3 linked regions of the Callithrix jacchus genome follow. The protein of the gene in region 2 interacts with the protein of the main gene of each other region in a biochemical or structural test. Links are inferred from orthologs where the notes say so. Each region holds a gene or a part of one and is shown on either strand. Other genes may lie near its edges.

Evidence for each region.
Region 1: the proteins of UBE2B (region 2) and UBR1 form a complex in vitro, tested with the Homo sapiens proteins (2 studies listed by BioGRID and IntAct, with this or other methods). The link is inferred for Callithrix jacchus from reciprocal best matches to the Homo sapiens genes UBE2B and UBR1.
Region 3: of the proteins of UBE2B (region 2) and UBA1, one has a biochemical effect on the other in vitro, tested with the Homo sapiens proteins (10 studies listed by BioGRID, with this or other methods). The link is inferred for Callithrix jacchus from reciprocal best matches to the Homo sapiens genes UBE2B and UBA1.

Annotation. Positions count from the first base shown.
Region 1 is NC_133509.1:30,775,416-30,781,644, reverse strand, and holds part of UBR1 (E3 ubiquitin-protein ligase UBR1), read left to right. Parts: intron 1-2,205; coding exon 2,206-2,267; intron 2,268-2,551; coding exon 2,552-2,662; intron 2,663-3,793; coding exon 3,794-3,859; intron 3,860-4,115; coding exon 4,116-4,217; intron 4,218-6,150; coding exon 6,151-6,214; intron 6,215-6,229. UniProt on the Homo sapiens protein: E3 ubiquitin-protein ligase which is a component of the N-end rule pathway. Recognizes and binds proteins bearing specific N-terminal residues that are destabilizing according to the N-end rule, leading to their ubiquitination and subsequent degradation.
Region 2 is NC_133503.1:32,756,713-32,763,697, reverse strand, and holds the start of UBE2B (ubiquitin-conjugating enzyme E2 B), read right to left. Parts: upstream 3,837-6,985; 5' UTR 3,717-3,836; coding exon 3,673-3,716; intron 1,584-3,672; coding exon 1,503-1,583; intron 1-1,502. UniProt on the Homo sapiens protein: E2 ubiquitin-conjugating enzyme that accepts ubiquitin from the ubiquitin-activating enzyme E1 and transfers it to a E3 ubiquitin-protein ligase. In vitro catalyzes 'Lys-11'-, as well as 'Lys-48'- and 'Lys-63'-linked polyubiquitination.
Region 3 is NC_133524.1:48,167,382-48,173,610, forward strand, and holds part of UBA1 (ubiquitin-like modifier-activating enzyme 1), read left to right. Parts: coding exon 1-162; intron 163-3,407; coding exon 3,408-3,472; intron 3,473-3,709; coding exon 3,710-3,905; intron 3,906-4,622; coding exon 4,623-4,697; intron 4,698-4,815; coding exon 4,816-5,005; intron 5,006-6,177; coding exon 6,178-6,229. UniProt on the Homo sapiens protein: Catalyzes the first step in ubiquitin conjugation to mark cellular proteins for degradation through the ubiquitin-proteasome system.

The sequences.
Region 1 (6,229 bases), on a different chromosome or scaffold from region 2:
AGAAAATATACATAACATAAAACTTATGTTAGCCATTTTTAAGTGTACAGTTCAGTGGCACTAAGTATATTTACATTATTCTTCAACTATCACCATCATCCTTCTCCAAAAGGTTTTTATATTCTTAAAATGAAACTTCTAAAACTGAAATAGAATAATAATACTATTATGCAATACCTCCCCATTGCCCCTTCCCCACACCCACTAGCAACTACCACTCTCCATGTCTATGAATTTGACTACTCTTGGTACCTATTATAAATGGACTTATACAGTATTTATCCTTTTGCGACTGGCTTATTTCACCTAACATAATGTCCTCAGGTTTATGTTGTAGCATGTGCCAGAATTTCCTTTTTTTAAAAGGCTGAATAATATTCCATTGTATGGATATACCACATTTTGTTCATCCATTTATCCATTGATGGACACTTGGGTTGTACTACCTTTTGGCTGTTGTGAATAATGCTGTTATGAACATGGGTGTAGAAGTATCTGTTCAGGTCCTTGTTTTCATTTTTTTGGGAATATACCCAAATATGGGATTGCTGGATTATTTGGGAATTCTATTTTTAGTTTTTTGAGGAACCATCATATTGTTTTCCTTAGTGGCTATACCATTTTACATTCCCACCAGCATGCACTAGGATTCCAGTTTATCTACATCCTTGCCAACACTTGCTATTTTTTCTTCCAACCCCTCCCCATTAATAACCATTCTAATGGATTTGAAGTGGTATCTCAGGTGCTTTTGATTCACATGCTCCTAGTGATTAGTGATTTTGATCAGCTTTTCACATGTTTATTGTCCATTTGTATATCTTTGGAGAACTATCTATTCAAGTGTTCTGCCCATCTAATTCTAAATAATAACTGTTTACAGACATGTGATTTACAAATATTTTCTCCCATTCTGGGGGTTGCCTTTTTACCCTGTTGATGATGGTATCCTTTGATACACAGGTTTGTTTGTTTGTTTTGAGACGGTGTTTCACTCTTGCTGCCCAGGCTGGAGTGCAGTGGCGCATTCTTGGCTTACCGCAACATCCACCTCCTGGGTTCAAGCAATTCTCCTGTCTCAGCCTCCCAAGTAGCTGGGATTACAGACATGTGCAGCCACATCCGGCTAATTTTTTGTATTTTTAGTAGAGACAGGGTTTCACCATGTTGGCCAGGATGGTCTCGATCTCTTGACCTTGTGATCCAGGGATTACAAGTGTGAGCACCGCACCCGGCCTCACAGGTGTTTTTGTTGTAGTCCAGTTTATCTATTTTTTTCTTTTGTTGCCTGTGTTTTTGGTGTCATGTCCAAAACCTTATTGTTAAATCTAATGTTTTGAAGACTTTCCCTTCGTTTTCTTCTCTGAGTTTTATTTTTTAGTTTTAGCACCTATATTTAAACCTGTGTTTAAGGTCTTTGATTCATTTTGAGTTAATGTTTATGTATGGTATAATTGACATCATGGGATTTTATGTTGCTTTTATTTTTATTAAAAAATACTTAGATTAATTTTCATTTCTTTTTTTCTCCCCCCACCCGCCTTTGCTTAAAGAATTGTTTTAACTGGTAATTTTCATTTCTTTTGATGCTTGGCTAAAAGCAGTAAACATATCTTCAGAGACAGTATGTTATTTTTATATAAGGTATGAGCACACCTTAAACAGTGTAGAATTTTAAATATGTTAGTAATATTGTGTTTCAAAATTAGAAATCAACAATCTGCATTCTAGAGTATTATTTCTAAACTCAGTAAATATACTTTAAGTCACACAAGTTTTGTTTGTTTTTTTTCTTTAAAGACGGAGTCTCACCCTGTCGCCTGGGCTGGAGCACAGTGGCATGATCTTGACTCACTGCAACCTCCGCCTCCCGGGTTCAAGCAATTCTCCTGCTTCAGCCTCCCAAGTAGCTGGGATTACAGGCACCCACCATCACGCCTGGCTGATTTTTGTATTTTTGTAGAAAGCAGGTTTCACCATGTTGGCCAGGCTAGTCGTTGAACTCCTGACCTCAGGTGACTGCCTGCCTCGGCCTCCCAGAGTGCTGGGAGTACAGGCGTGAGCCACTGTGCTCGGCCAAATGACACAAATTTCTAAACCACCGTGCCTGCCAAATTACACAAATTTTTAAACTTGATGAGTTAACCAGTTAACAAATTGGGTTTGTTTTCTCATTTTTCTCTCTCTTTTTTTTTTTAATTTTAGGTCTTCATGTACGTTTAAGCAGGCTGGGTGCTGTTTCAAGACTGCATGAATTTGTGTCTTTTGTAAGTGATTCTACTAAGTATTGATTTGCTTATGTTCTATTTCTGAATACCTCTTGGTTGATGGACAAGAAGGAAAATAATATTTGGAAACCCACCTGAATAATTCCTATTTAGTAATTTTACATCTTCATATAGTATATTGTAATCTGAATCATGGGACTTAGACATCTAGTTCTAGCTCTTCCGTTTTACGCATGAGAAAACTGAAAAATATGTAGTGCCCTAACTTGGAGACACATCCAAGCTCTGTGAGAAATGATAAAATTGGCCTCACTCTATTTCAGGAGGACTTTCAAGTAGAGGTATTAGTGGAATATCCTTTACGTTGTCTGGTGTTGGTTGCCCAGGTTGTTGCTGAGATGTGGCGAAGAAATGGGCTGTCTCTTATTAGCCAGGTATGTCAAAACCTATTATTCATATTTATGAATGTGTTCATTTTCTAGTTTTTTTTCTCTTACATAATTTTACCCTATGTCCCTGGATTTTACTGAGGATTTGCCACTATTCTCTTATATAAGCTCTTAGAAATGAAAGTTCTAGGAACTATATAGACATTTCTCCTATCCTATTTACTGTGTATTCCATCTGAATTATAAGAAACTAGGGTGCTTATATGATAAGTTAGGTGAGAGTCAATAGTACCACCAGGGACCTCCCTGTTACATAGTTCTTTTCTGAGAATTACCTTACTTGGAGGCCTTTAGTCTTCCCACTATCTGTCTTAATTGAAGGCCACCTTGTAATTTTGTCTTCTATTTTAGAGTAAATATGGAGTAGTGCTTTTCTTTTTTTCTTTTTTTGAGACCGAGTCTCCCTCTATCGTCCAGGCTGTGGAGTGCAGTGGCGCTATCTCAGCTCACTGCCGTCTGTACCTCCCGGGTTCAAGTGATTCTTGTGCCGCAGCCTCCCGAGTGGCTGGGACTACATGCATGCGCCACCATGCCCAGCTAATTTTTGTAATTTTAGTGGAGACCAGGTTTCACCAGGTTGGCCAGGCTGGTCCTGAACTTCTGACCTAAGGTGATCCGCCTCTGCCTCCCTCCCAAAGTGCTGGGATTACAGGTGTGAGCCACTGCACCTGGCCTTGCTTTTCTTAAAAGGTGGGGAAATAGGTCTTGAAAAGTTACCATTTAGAAGAAAAATGGTATTACATGTTTACCTATGTAACAAACCTATATAGCTTGCATGTGTATCCCGGAACTTAAAATTAAAAACAAAGAAAAAATGATATTATTATTGATTGGTTTACTTTTATTGAAGTAGGTATTTTAAACTTAGGGAAAATAAAAATTCTTTTTTTATACACAAGAGTAATAACTAATATAGAACATTTTTAACTCTGAAGTGATTTCATGCCATATTTCTTCACTTCATCCTCACAAGTCCCTTTAAATGATTCATTGATATACAACTTATTTTTTGCCACTAAGGAGTTTCTAGCTTAGAAAAAGTTTTAAGGATAGGTTTACTTGAGAAATTTGCTTGAAATAATTCTTTTAGCCTTTATTCCACCTATTATTTTATAGGTGTTTTATTACCAAGACGTTAAGTGCAGAGAAGAAATGTACGATAAAGATATCATCATGCTTCAGGTACCTGTTTAAATTGTTTCTGATATTTGTGTCTTAATCTTCCTTTTTAAATTCTTTGTAATAAGAGAAGATAATGTAATTATTTTTAACTTAAAATATTCTCACGATTAAACTGAATATGACATCATAGAAATAGAAGGGACTATTCTATTTCATTATCTTCTACAAACTTTATAATTTTCTGACCGTCCTATAAGAGACAAAATGTTTCTCCATACAATACACAAGAAATATAATGCTGGGTTTTTTTTCACAGATTGGTGCATCTCTAATGGATCCCAATAAGTTCTTGTTACTGGTACTTCAGAGGTATGAACTTGCCGAGGCTTTTAACAAGACTGTATCTACAAAAGACCAGGTACAGAACCTATAAATTAAGTGAATTAATTTTAAAGGAAATATTGTTACTTTTTGAGTCATATTTTATTTCAGTCATATTTAGTCATATTTTAAAAGTTATTTCTTAATGCATACCTCCTGAAATGACATGGATATATATAGCACACATAGGTACACACGTATAATCTTTTTAATCTAGAAAAATTAGAATATGTAGGTTAACAAAGAAAAAAATCACATGAAAAACACTGCTTCCTGGAAATGATCACTTTTAAGGTTTTGGTGTCTTGCTTGTTTTTAAAACAAAAAGTGTATCATTCTGTATGTGTTGTTTTGTAATCTGCTTCTTATGCTTAACATATTGTCAAAGGTTTTTCATCTTGTCATGAAATAAATATGCAATTATATCATCATTTTAAATAATTATATAGGATTACACTATATGATGCATTATACTTTAAAGTCTGTTACTGAAGAGGTCTTTCTAGTTGGTTGCCCTTTTATTTATTTACTTATTTATTTTTGAGATGTAGTCTTGCTCTGTTGCCCAGGCTGGAGTGCAGTGGTGTGATCTTGGCTCACCACAGCCTCTGCCTCCAGGGTTCAAGTGATTCTCCTGCCTCAGCCTCTGAGTAGCTGAGACTAGCCACCATGCTCTGCTAATTTTTGTATTTTTAGTGGAGACAAGATTTCATTATGTTGGCCAGGTTGATTTTATTTTGTTTATTTATTTATTTTTGAGAAGTTGGTTGTTCTTATAAACAGTTGTAGCTCATTATTTAAACACTTGTCTAACTATTTTGTTAAGATACATTTTTATAAGTGGATTTGTTGGATAAAACAACATGCTTTTTCTTAAGGCTCTTAATACATATTGTCAAATTGCTGTCAGAAATTCCTATTTAAGCTCTCTCTTGCAATATATACATCTATAATGACATTGGTATTTCAATCTTTGTTGTCTCAGAGGTAATATACAAATTTTATTTTATTTATTATTTGTTTCTGAGACAGAGTCTCACTCTGTTGCCCAGGCTGGAGTGCAGCAGTACGATTTTGACTCATTGCAACCTCCATCTCCCATTTAAGTGATTCTTCTCAGCTTCCTGAGTAGCTGGGACTACAGGCATGAGCCACCAAGCCCAGCTACTTTTTTGTATTTTTAGTAGAGTTGAGGTTTCACCATGTTGGCCACGGTGGTCTCAAACTCCCGAGCTCAAGTGATGTGCGTGCCCCGGCCTCCCAAAGTGCTAGGATTATAGGTATAAACCACTGTGCCCGCCTACATCTTTATTGTTTTAATATTTGAATTAGCCTATAAAGTAGGCCTTAACTACTTTGAATTCATGAAATCTCATTATTCTATTCTTTCAAATGAGAAGTTACTCCTGCTGGTAAAGTTTCTTTGGAAAAATAATAAATATATAAAAAAAACTTTTTAAATGAAAAAATAGAAGTTACTTGCAAAGGGCTAACATGAATAGGATGTAAAATGCAGAGCTAATTTTTAGTTGTGTTTTATACTTAGTGAAAATCAATATCTGATTTAATAGTGTTTAAATGAGGGGTGTATTAGAGAAGGATACTCTCAGCATAACTGTTGAATATGTATTTGTAGGCACTTTCTCACTACCCCAGATAAGAAGGCAGCCAATAATAGAGGATGAATTAAAGATTAGCATTAGTGTGCTGACGGGTGACTATGCAGGGGATAATGAGAATGAAAACAATGACAGTATTTAACAATTGTATGCCAGGTATTGTTGAATTTGATGTCAAAAAAGGGAACTCTTCACCTTGTAACTATTTGTGCTGTGCACATACACGTACGCAAATACTGTACTGGATGAAAAAATACTGAACCGGATGGACCATGAGTCTGATCCAGAAATGCATGTTTTATGGAGATTTTTGGTTCTTCCATACTAATTTATTCTTTTTTGATTCTGTAGGATTTGATTAAACAATATAATACATTAATAGAAGAAATGCTTCAGGTCCTCATCTATATTGTGGGTAAGATTAAAACAC
Region 2 (6,985 bases):
TCCTGGGTTCAAGGGATTCTCCTGCCTCAGCCTCCCAAGTAGCTGGAATTATAGGCATGTGCCACCACACCTGGTTAATTTTTGTATTTTTAGTAGAGACAGGGTTTCAGTATGTTGGTCAGTCTGGTCTTGAACTCTGACCTCAGGTGATCCACACGCCTCAGCCTCCCAAAGTGCTGGGATTTCAGGCGTGAGCCACCATGCCTGGCCACATATGTATATTCTTAAGAGAAAAAGTCATCTTTTTCATTTAACAGCAATAAGATGGAAAGCAATAGTCTTTAGTTATGATGCTAAACCCAAGTGTCCTGCTTTCCAACAGATGCATAACGTTTGTTCAAATAGGCTAAGCATAGCTGCTGTCACCAAAAAGCCAGATTCTCTTGTTCAGATCCTTGCCACCACATCCCAATTTCATACTTCCTAAGCAGCAGCACAAGGTTTAATTATTACTTGCAAGGCATATTCAGGATCTCAAAGTAGCCAGATAATACCCTGAATATAACAGAAGTGCTTTATGAGGGTGAACCTCACTCATTTTCCACTAGTCTTTAAATGTAGACTCTTGTAGCTGAACTGGAGTATCAGAATTCTGTTTATCAACATATTCCTTTTACTTTTTAATGCATATCTCGAGTTTCAAAGGAATGAAAGAAAAAACAGATCAAGTCTAGAAAAACCAAAGAAAAAGCATAAGGAAAATTTAAATTAAAAAGCATATATGCAACATATATAGTACGTAAAATTTACAACTCCTCAAATGGCTGCATTCTGCTACTTCACACCGGGCTGTGAATCCTTTTCACTTAAATACTTGCCACAGTAGAAGTTCTTAATATTTTTGGTTCCAAATCTTGTAATAGCTCCAACAGAATTAAAGCATTTGCATGGTATATTTTATACAAAATAATTTATATTTTCTCCTTTATTATTCCATTCCATATAGTTTTGAATAGTATTTTAAAGTAAAACCTGAAGTGATTATAAAACCCTATAATAAAAGAGCAAATAAATTGTATATAACTGCTGAAATTTTTTTCCTTTTTTTTTTGAAACATAAGGGTCTTGGTTCTGCTGCCCAGGCTGGAGTGCAGTGGCATAATCATGGCACTCAAATTCCTGGGCTCAAGTGATCCTCCTGCCTCAGCCTTCCAAGTAGCTGGGACCACAGGTGTGCACCACTATGCCCAGCTAGTTTTATACTTTTTGTAGAGATGAGGTCTCACTATGTTGCCCAGGCTGGGCCAAAACTCCTTTTTTTGGGGGGCAGGGAGAGAGAGACTCACTGTTTCATTATATTGCTCAGGCTGGTGATGAACTCCTGGGTTCAAGCGATCCTCCTAGGCATGAGCTAAAATTCTAATTAAAAAAATTTTTTTCTAATTTATCTTGTAGTTTTAGTCCTGAAGATCTCTCAATCCACCCCAGTTTCTTTTCCTAGGCAGTTGTTATATATTCACTTAAAGATTCAACACACACCTATTATAAACCTTTCAACTCACCCAAATATAACTGCATTCCACTGCATGATGTTGTTTTCAGATGGTGCACCACTGACACCCACAGGTGGGTCCTCTTGTAACCTAGAAATCCGGAGTGGTAATTTAAAAAGTTGAACATTAAGGCCACTAAGGAGGCCACATAAACACCTACAGACACTATACCATCTATTGTGACACAGGGACTAACTCCATTTCCTTGTTACTGTGAACTAAAATGAACCCTATGACTTAAATATATTAACCAGGTATATACACTTATTAAATACCTCTCCAAATTATCTAAAAATGTAAAAGGCTTGAGAATCATCCCTTTTTCAATATTATCAAGATTATTATCTCTTCAAGAATTGATGCATACAGACTGTCCTCTTAAACCAAAAAAAAGTTTAAAAACTCAAAAGCAAATAATATTTTTACAGAACCATCGATTTTGCTGCTCTAACCATCCAAAGACTGTGTGTCTTAACCACAGGTACTTCTGCAAAATGGCTAAAAAAAGAAAAGCAAACCTCAGTGTAAACACTAATGACTGAAAACACGTTAATTACAAAACTAGTATTAGGCAGATTTACTTTATCCCTTTTGCTTCAAACGGCAATGGCTTTAAAAAGTAATCAGTAGGTTTTCTGCCAGTCCCTATTTTAAGGCTCTGCACTAACACCAAATCTACCTCTCAGATCAGGAGACTCAATACAAGGCTTTCCAACATTCCTCAAATTCTTATAACCTGCAGACCTTTGGAAAACTTCAAAAGGTGTCATATACTCAACTCAGAATTAAGCAGAGCATTACAGTAAGGAGCCAGGGAGACAATGACGTGAACTAAATTGCTATTTGAATTTTAGTCACAAGTGCCAAGCAAATACACTAATTTCAAGCTTTAGAAAGATAACTTTTGCACAAAAAAGGGCATCTCCTTTCAGAGACTGTAGTGTCAATTAAAAATGCTACATTATACACACAAATACATATGCAGTCGTTTTCATGGGGCATCACACTTTGCAACTAGTCCACATTAAAAAAAAAAAAGGTTTTTAGTCAATTTCAAGCAAATTAGGCCGCCACGAACAGAAGCCTCACAAGAACTGCACTGCTTGACGCCTACCTTTAAATGGCTAAGAGAAGCTACCAATGAATTAAATAAGTTGGCCAAAGCCCAAAACAATGGATGGCTTCCAAATGCTTCACATAGGCTTTATAATGGCTGAGTTGAGAGGCGACTTCCTGAGCGACAAATCTAAGTTTTTAGGCCAGATATTTTGTCTCAATTAGGGCAGGTATCCCCAAAAAAAATTTTAAGAAAAACGTGCAGAGTTATCAAAATGCTGTTTTCTCACATGTTTTTCTATGTCTCTAAGTATCCAATTAAAGGCAAACGACGGACTAATCATTCTCTTTCTCACAACCCCAATACCTCCTAACAGTTAAAACCCTATTTATTTACCAAAGGAGGCCCAGGGAGTATCAAATTAGCGCCCGTCTAAGGGAAGGCATTTTTCCAGACTCGGGAGGCTATAGATAGGGCTTTCTTCACCAGCCAGAGCTGAGTTCCAGAAGGCACTGGCAGCCGGGGTGGCCAGCTCTGAGGTCCCAGATCTCTAAGTCGGTTCCCAAGGTCCTTTCAGGCGGGCGGGGACAGAGTCGGGTTTCGGGGGATGGGTTAAGCTCCGGGCCTCACGCACTGGACCCCACCCTCACGGTAGAAATGGAAAGGACCGGGGCGTGGTGCGGGGGGTTTCGCCCCAACCCGGCTCCTCGGAGAAGACGGCGGGGCAGTGAAACAAAGCTGACCGGTGCAGCCGGCGAGGAACAAACTCCCGCAGGAGCTTACTTTAAGAGGACAAGAAGGGGGCGCCGCAGGGTGCAGGGGCGGGTGGAGGAAATCTGATCGCCGGGCAGCTGGCCGAAAAGGGCAGCAGGGAACCCTAGGCCAGTCGATCGACACCGTTTTACTTTTTGGGGGTAGGAGGAGTATCGAAATTTATTCGGCCGCCAAAACGAGAGGCAAGGATAAGGTAGTGGAAGCCGAGGCTAGGACCCGGCTTCTGCCAGTTCTGCTGGGCCCACAGCCGGCCCTCGGAGGGTCACAAGGGGAAGGTGTCCGGGATCCCCACCCTGCAGCCCCGCAGCTTTGAGGGGCCGTCATCTAGGCGGACGTGAAGGCCCTTACCGCTTGAAATCCCGCATGAGCCTTCTCCGGGCCGGGGTCGACATGCTCCCCAGCTGCCCCGCGGTCAGTCTGAAAGAAAAGAGTCCCGCGCAGCCCCCCCACCCCCCGGCGCGGCGGCCAAATCACTGTGGGTAGCTGCCGCTGCTGCCGTCGCCGAGACTGACAAACAACCCTGCAATGACGTCTCCCTCCGCCGCCTCCGGATCCCTCCGCCCTCCGGATCCCTCCGCCCTCCGCCGCTACCACGGAAGAGCGTTGGGGGAGGAGGGGGCGGGACGCTGGAGCGCGCGTTCTCCGAGCCCTTCTGCGGGGCTGGGTTCAGCCTGGGCTTCCTGAAATGATCGGCAAGTTTGTGTACTCTGTGCTTACACTAGAGGTTGTGGATTCAGAGACCACGGAACCGAAACACTATCTGTCCCCCTCCCCGTCATTAGTTTAGACTCGGCGGGGTGGAGAGAGGGGGGACTCATCCGGGCCAGAGATTTCAGGGAAAGGAGGTGGGATGACGTAAGATCACGTGACTGACCGTGGCCTTGTCAACAATCCACCCCTGAGGGGGAGGGGGAGAAGTATCTAGAACCACGTGTCCCTATGACGCCTTTAGAATGGGTCACGTGAAAGCCTCGCCTCTATGTGAGTTTCAGCCAGCTCTATGAAGCTGGTTCAAGGGAGATTACACCTTTATTAGTTGTTTCCTGTTTATTACAGGTTAGAGACATCATTACCCAAGAGATCATGGCAGAATCAACAGCTTGTTTTGTTTTGTTTTGTTTTGTTTTTTTTTTTGAGGGTTTTAAAATTATTTATTTATTTTACATTTTGTAGAGGCAGGGTCTCTCAAAGTGCTGGGATTACAGGCATGAGTCACGTTTTGTTTTCTTTAAACCGGGACCAAAAATAATTCCCCTCTGGTTGGTTCAGTGGCTTATCAACTCTGCTATTGGGGCAAGAAGGGTATTGCACGATCTTCTAAGGCAGCATTGAATGTTGAGGCCCACACAACAATATCCTGCAATGCTTCCTTGAAGCTACCAAATAGTCTTTCAGCTTTGCAGTGGGGTTTCTAGTATTGAAAATTTTGGGCAAACATTAAAGGATGGTGTATTATGCAGTTTTTCCTTTCTGGGTCTGCTTTCATTTGAAGATATGTGTCAGAGTCCGGGACTTGCCTATAGGGGGTTGTACCATTGTATATTTTTAAGGAATGTGGGGTTGCAGACTTCCAGGCTTATCAATGAGTGGTTGGTTGTCAAAGAAACCTACAAATATGATTTATACCTGGGGGAGAGCTCCTGTAGATATGAGTGAGGGTTATAAATCTAGCCTGAAGGCCCGGTGCGATGGCTCACGCCTATAGTCCCAGCACTTTGGGAGGCTGAGGCGAGTGGATCACGAGGTCAAGAGATCGAGACCATCCTGGTCAACAAGGTGAAACACCGTCTCTACTAAAAATACAAAAATTAGCTGGGCATGGTGGCGTGCGCCTGTAGTCCCAGCTACTCGGGAGGCTGAGGCAGAATTGCTTGAACCCAGGAGGTGGAGGCTGCAGTGAGCCGAGACTGCGCCGTTGCACTCCAGCCTGGGTAACAAGAACAAAACTCTGTCTCAAAACAAAACAAAACAAAAAAATAAATCTAGCCTGAGATAACTTTAGGTTTTCTACACTAGCAAGTAAAGTGCAAATGGGCCAGAAGTGCCCCCCCATCACCAGGGGGGTTCAAAAGTGTTGATCTCCCACAGACCTTGAATATTTTCTGTAGTTACTGTCCTTCCCTCTATTGCTTCCAGTTCCTACCCTCAGGACTTTGTTATACTAAGGACTCTGAGTACTGAGGAATCCTTCAGCTCAACAGGGAAAGGGAAGGTGGAATGAAGACCTTAGCATTGCCTCAACCTTGCCCATAGTTCCATGGAAGCAGAGTTAACTTTTCCGACTTTCCTTGCATCTTCCTCTTTAAACCCTGAATTCTCTCTCTGCTTCCAGTGACTGCCTCGGTAATCGAGTTAGGCAGGCCTAACTCTTGATAGGTCCTGTTAAACATTTCACAATGTGTTTTCTAAGTCAAAAGCTGAATATTCTTAATTTTTTTGCCTTTCTGCCATTGCAGTCCTAACCCTTCCGATAACAAAAGAGAAAGATACACATGTAAGGTTACATGGAGAAAAATGGTCAAGAGAAACTGTATCTTAAAAATATTCGGCATGAGCTGAGACATAAGCTCATGCCTGTAATCCTAATACTTTGGGAGGCCATAAGTTTGAGACCAGCCTGTGCAAAACAGGAGATCCTGTCTCTGCAAAAAGTAAAATTAGCTAGGCGTGGTGACATACACCAGTAGTCCCAGCAACCTGGGAGGCTGAGGCAGAAGGATCGCTTGAGCCGAGGAAGTTGAAGCTGCAGTGAACCATCATCGTGCCACTGAGACCTTGACAAAAAAAAACAAAAACAAAAACAAAAACACCTTATAATTTACCAGTTAAGGCAGTCACTGAAAGCAGAAACAATTCAGGGTTTGCAGAAAGGGAGGTACAAGGAAAGTGGAAAAAGTTAACCTTTTCTGGTTCCATGGAACTATGGGCAAGATTAGGAAAATGGTGAGGTCTTCCTCCCTCCCTCCCTTTCCCTGTTGAGCTGAAGAATTTCCTAAATGGATACAAATGTGCTCAGAATCCTCTTGACTGACCAACGAAATACTGAAGATGGGAACTGGAGGCAACAGAGATAAGGAATTCAGTGACTACAGGGATTTACAATTGTTTTGGAAACAGTTTATTTTCCAAAATGAAATAACACTTTGATTAATTCAGTGAATCTGCATCATAAAGTCTTACAATTGTGTATTAGCAAGAATCACTGGCTGTCCTGGTTAACCAGGCCTGCCACAACCTACTTGTAGAAGGAATAATTTTAAAGCTATCAATTGTATGCTGTTATCAATTCTGTAGCTCTGGATTATGAACTCACTGAGGGCAGGGAAGGGACTCCATTTGGTTCATTTTTCTCCTGGGAAAATTTTTTCTTTTTCTTTTTTGAGACAGTCTTGCTTTGTCACCCAGGCTGGAGTGCAGTGGCGTGAACAGGGCTGACTTTTTTTTACAGAAAAAAGAAAAAAAGAGCTCTATTCAAAAAAAAAAAAAAAAAGCACTCCTTAGGGACTTGCTCTAGTGATGTGGTGGTTATTCATTAGGGACTGTCACTTCAGCTGAACTCTGTCTACTTAAGCAATTAGACTCCGGCATCTTTATTTCTGTGCCCTTGTACATCACTTCCAATATAGTAGAACCCTTCGAATTACTTGCTTGCCTAGAAGTT
Region 3 (6,229 bases), on a different chromosome or scaffold from region 2:
AAGCCACTGCTAGAGTCAGGTACACTGGGCACCAAGGGCAACGTGCAGGTGGTGATCCCCTTCCTGACAGAGTCGTACAGCTCCAGCCAGGACCCACCTGAGAAGTCCATCCCCATCTGTACCCTGAAGAACTTCCCTAATGCCATCGAGCACACCCTGCAGGTGATCAGCTGTGGGGGAAGGGAAAGAAGCCAGGCATCTGGCCGGGCCGCTGCCTCTTGGCCCCCAGGCCCTTGCCTTGCCTTGCCTTCAGATGTTGCATGCCTAAGTGTAAAATGTGCCTTTTTTCCAAGCCTCCCTCCTTTACTTCCTACAAGGCAGCCTAGGTTTCTAGAATGACTCATTACTTTTTCACTTTTATTTCAAAATTTTTTTCAGCATACAGAAAAAAATTTTTGTTGAAATTTTTCAAAAATTTTTCAACAAATATTAAGAATATTATGAATACTCAAATACCATTCCTCACCTACATTTAACAATGCTTAATGTTTTGCCACATTTCCTTCTTAGATTTATATAGATTTTTCTTCATGCTTAAATGTGTCACAGACATCATAATCCTTTACTCCCTACTATTTCAGTGCCTCTGCCAAGTGAGGAAATGTTCCTATAGAACAGGGTTGGAGCTTCAGCACTACTGACATTTGGGGCTGGATATTTCTTTGTCATGGCGGGGGGGGGTGCCTTGTGCACTATAAGATGTTTCTTGGCATTCCTGACTTCTGCCCACTAGATGCCAATAGCACTCCCCCTCCATCATGACATCTGAAAATGTCTCCAGATATTGCCAGATGTCCCCAGAGGTGCCACATCACTCCCAGTTGAGAACTACTTCTGTCTAACCAAAACATCATCTTCATGCTGAACAAAATTAGCAATAATTTCTTACTATCTCTTCCAGTTATCTATTTGTCTCTAATACTCAGTCCATATTCAGGTTTTCCCCAGCTGTTGCTCAAAATGAGTTTAATAGCTGGTTTGTCAGGATGATTCTGTGTGTATGGTATATGTACCTGCAGAACAGTGCACATAACTAACATCTAGCTCGAGGGTATCCAATCATTTGGCTTCCCTGGGCCACACTGGAAGAATTGTCTCAGGCCACACATAAAATATACTAACACTAACGATAGCTGATGAGCTGAAAAAAACAAAAGAAAAAAGGTCCACGCATAAATCTCATAGTGTTTTTAAGAAAGTTTATAGATTTGTTTTGGGCACCATTCAAAGCCGTCTTGGGCCGCATATGGGCCACAGATGAGACGTTTGATCTAGCTGAAGTTTTACAAAGTGAATACACAGGTGACTAGCACCTGGGCCAAGAAACAGACCTAGGGATTACGATTGTGCTATCAGAATAATTCTTAGTACAGTGTTTGAGGCCAAACCATTTAGAATAGTAGGAGTATGAGGGTGGGAACAAAACAGGGAAGAGGAAAAAAAAACCAGCTCCATCTGTCACTTTCTCTTCTGACCCTGTGGTTCCGAGTGGATATGTTTGTATTTTTGCACCCACCACAGTCTTACTAGGTCATGTGTAACCTTGAACTTAACCTCTCTGTGCCTCAGATTCCTGCTCTGTAAAATGGGAATGACAGTAGTATCTACCTGACAGGGCTATTGTGAACCACTTGGCATTTACTGTGTGCCTGGCACTGTTTTAAACAAGCTTTAAATATATACGTATTTGCACATTTCTTCCTAGCAACCCCATGAAGTAGGTATTACTGTTGTAACATCTGTTATAGAGATGAGGCATGGAGGTAAAGATGTTACCCTGCGTGCCTGAAGTCACAAGACTAGGTAATATGCGCACAGCTGAAATCTAAACCTGAATTTCTAACATTTGTACCCTCCAAACCACCACACTAATGACTGCAAACTGTCTTAGGAATTCTCAGAGGCCAGAAGCTCTGTCTTGTTTGCTATTTTATTTTTGGAGACAGGATCTCACTCTGTCACTCAGGTTAGAGTGCGTTGGCACAATTCATAGCTCACTGCAACCTTGAACTCCTGGGAAGTGTGTGTGTGTGTTCCTGTTATATTGACCAGACAGGTTGCAAACTCCTGGGCTCAAGTGATCCACCTGCCTCAGCTTCAAAAAGTGCTGGGATTACATGTGTGAGCCGCTGTGTCCGGCCTCTGTCTTGTTTTCTGCCGAGTCCTCGGGGCCTGGATAGGGATCATTTGTGGTTTGGTCTGAGTTTTTTCTTTTTCTTTTTTAAAAATTATGGTAAGATATACTTAACTGAAGTTTTTCTTTTTTATGAAGGCATAACATATCTAGAATGAGGTACACAGATCTTAATATATTTTTAGGCGTGGCTCACACCTCTAATCTCAGCATTCAGGAGACCAAGATGTGAGGATTGCTTGAGGCCAGGAGTTCAAGACCAGTCTGGGCAATATAGCACGGCCCTGTCTCTACAATAAATTTTTAAAAATTAGCCAGGTGTGGTGGCATGTGCCTGTGGTCCCAGCTACTCAGGAGGCTGAGGTGGGAGGATTGTTTAAGCCTGGGAGGTCAAGGCTACTGTGAGCCATGATTGTGCTGCTGCATTCCAGCTTGGGTGACAGAACGAGACTTTGTCTCAAACAAAACAGTTTTCCACATGTGCATAACACTATTGTAACCGCTGCGCAGATAAAGTTCATTGGTTTTTCTTTTTCTTTTTTTTTTTTGAGGTGGAGTCTCGCTTTGTTGCCCAGGGTGGAGTGCAGTAGCACAGTCTCACTGCAAATTCCACCCCTTGGGTTCAAGCAATTCTGCCTCAGCCTCCCAAGTAGCTGGGATTACAGGCAATGTGCCACCACGGCTGGCTAATTTTTGTATTTTTAGTAGAAACAGGGTTTCACCATGTTGGCCAGGCTGGTCTTGGACTCCTGACCTCAAATGATCTGCCCACCTCAGCCTCCCAAAGTGCTGGGATTACAGGCCTGAGCCACCAGGCCTGGCCTTTTTCTTTTGAGACGGAGTTTTGCTCTGTTGCCCAGGCTAGAGTGCAGTAGTGTGATCTCAGCTCACTGCAACCTCCGCCTCCCAGGTTCAAGCAATTCTCCTGCATCAGCCTCCCGAGTAGCTGAGATTACAGGCGTCTGCCATCATACCCAGCTAAGTTTTGTATTTTTAGTAGAGGCAGGGTTTCACCATGTTGGTCAGGCTGGTCTCGAATTCATGACCTCAGATGAACCACCGCCTTAGCTTCCTAAAGTGCTAGGATTGCAGGCGTGAGCCACTGCGCCCGGCCTGGTTTTTCGATTAAGGTGGGGGAGTGGGGAAGGCTGGGGAGCCTTGCAGAACAGCTGTGTGCCGCCTCCTTGCTTTATTCACTAATGATCTTTCTAATGTCTGCGGAAACCCATTTTGTCAACTGTGGCCACATGTAATCCGTTTGCTGTGTCTGCAGTGGGCTCGGGATGAGTTTGAAGGCCTCTTCAAGCAGCCAGCAGAAAACGTCAACCAGTACCTCACGTGAGTAACTTGAGTGCCCTCTTGCCCTGTCCCTCCACCAGCCAGGGCATCCCGCCTGCTCTCCTCATCACAGTAACACACTTGGCACCAGGTATACTTTTCACATGAATGAGTGGCTGCTTGGGCCTCATGCTGTTAGGGGTCGGGACTAGTTTTCCACGGAGAAAGTAAGATTGCTCTGAAGCCCATTCCTGAGGCTGAGGTATAATCCTGTCCTCTCTCTTCAATTCCTGATAGAGACCCCAAGTTTGTGGAGCGAACACTGCGGCTGGCAGGCACCCAGCCCTTGGAGGTGCTGGAGGCTGTGCAGCGCAGCCTGGTGCTGCAGCGACCACAGACCTGGGCTGACTGCGTGACCTGGGCCTGCCACCACTGGCACACCCAGTACTCAAACAACATCCGGCAGCTGCTGCACAACTTCCCTCCTGACCAGGTAATGCCCATTTGTTGGGTGCATTTGGCAGAATGTGTTTCCCTGAAATGGGAGCCTGCTGTGGGCTCTCAGTGTGGGTCCTCAGTCCAGCTGTAGCAGGTGCCCTGAGGCATGGGGATCTGAGAAGAGTGATTGAGCCTGACCTGCTTTTTTCCCACCCTAGTTCCTTTGAGCAAGAGGCTTGGTCGCTGTTTCCCTTGACTGTGGTATGGACTGAGTCATACCTAATTCCCCGTCAGGGCTGTAGGGAGTGTGGGGGAGAAATTCTGGGGTTAAGAGCACAGGAATCAATGTGGGTTCAAATCCAGACTCGAACTTAGGCAAATCACGTAACTTCTCTCTGTACCTCAGTTTCCTCATCTGTGAAGTAGAAATAATAGTAATCTACCTCATGGGGGGTTTGGGGAGGATTAACTGGTATTTATTAATATGAAGTTAGTACAATGCCCTGTAATCCATGAGAATTTGTTAAATGATAGGCTATCTAGCACAAAATGCCTTCCCAGGGATTGGTAATTGTTCTCTCAGCCTGATCTCTGGTTCAACCTTGTGGGACCCTACAGTTGGGGTCATTTGTGGTTGACTCCAGCCCCCATCGAGTACCCAACTCAAGATAGTGAGTTAGGGGCACCTCTGGGGCCTACGTGAAGCGTCAAGGTTGTCAGAGAGGCCTTCACTGTCAGGTCCTGTTCTCAAAAATCTCTTCATCCCTTATAGCTCACCAGCTCGGGAGCCCCGTTCTGGTCTGGGCCCAAACGCTGTCCACACCCGCTCACCTTTGATGTCAACAACGTAAGTCTCCTCTCTGGGGTCTCCTGGGGTCAGGTGGAGGGTGAGTAGGTGGGAAGGAGGTGGCGGTTCCCCACTCAAGGACTATGTGCTCACCTTTTCCTGCCCTGCCTTCTCCTAGCCCCTGCATCTGGACTATGTGATGGCTGCTGCCAACCTGTTTGCCCAGACCTATGGGCTGACAGGCTCTCAGGACCGAGCTGCTGTGGCCACACTCCTGCAGTCTGTGCAGGTCCCTGAATTCACCCCCAAATCTGGCGTCAAGATCCACGTTTCTGACCAGGAGCTGCAGAGCGCCAATGCCTCTGTTGGTGAGGGTGTTTGGCCAGTTGGCCAGGAGTCACCTCCACATGTCCCCTGCCTAGTCCAGCGTCCCCACCAGTCCTGTACCCCTGGCTCTGCTCTGCTCTGGGACCCCAGGCCTGAGGTTTACCCATACCTTCGTTTGAGCCTCCCTTTAACATGAAGAGGGTCGGTTGGGGCAGATTATTTCCCTCCTTCCTTCCCACTCTCTGCACTCAGGAGAACTTGCTGTTTTATTCTTGCCCTGTGTATTTCCCTGAGTTTTGTTTTTTCTTCTGTTTCTTAATCTGTTCATCTAGGAGGTATGATCTCCACCAGCGGTCTCTCTCCCTTGATACCTTCCTGCCTTGTCTCCTTCCAGATCCGCCCTGATCTATACATCTACCTCCATGTTTCTCTGTATGCATCTTCACCCTCCATAGTTTGGGGCTGCAGTTTACTGACACCCTCCTCCCAGCCCTCGTCTATACATATTTTTCCATTGCCCTTCCCTTCTGTATATAATGCTTCTGTAGCTCTGTAACGCCCCTACATTTACCTTCCTTATATCTCCCCTGTCTTCCTCTCCATAAATTTCCCATTTCCCTTTCCATGGTCCCTATCTTCCTTCTGAAATATCTGCTTCATGTTCCTCTGTGTATGTCTTTCAATCTTTCCTTCCATATCTCTCATCGCCTTCATATATTTCCTCCATTTTTCTCCTCCCACCTGTCTTGCCCTCTGTATATACCCCTACTCTCCCCCTTTTGTATCTTCTCCATCTCCCCCCATATCTCTCCTCGGTATCTATATCTGTACATTTCCCCCAATTTCCCCTCCATATATCTTTTGTACTCCCCTTTTCTTCCCTGTATGTTCCATCTTGCTCTACATTCTTCCCAAGATCTTTACGTCTTCCATCTTGATTTGCCCATCTCCACTTTATTCCAACATGTTCATTTCCGTTCCTTAGTGTCTTTAGAGGTTGCTCTTGATAGTCTCAGCTCTTAGTCTCTGTTTTTCAGGTCTGTACTCTGTTCTCCTCTACCTCTCCTCCTTGTCCCTTTTCTCTCCCAGGATGTCTCTCCTTTCCAAATCCTTTTTCTACCCGAATACCTTTTGCCCCACCCTGGGCTCCCATTTCCACCTCAGACCTTAGCTTGGGATCTAAAGGGCTGACAGTGTTCCTCTCTTCATGCAGATGACAGCCGTCTAGAGGAGCTCAAAGCCACTCTGCCCAGCCCAGACAAGCT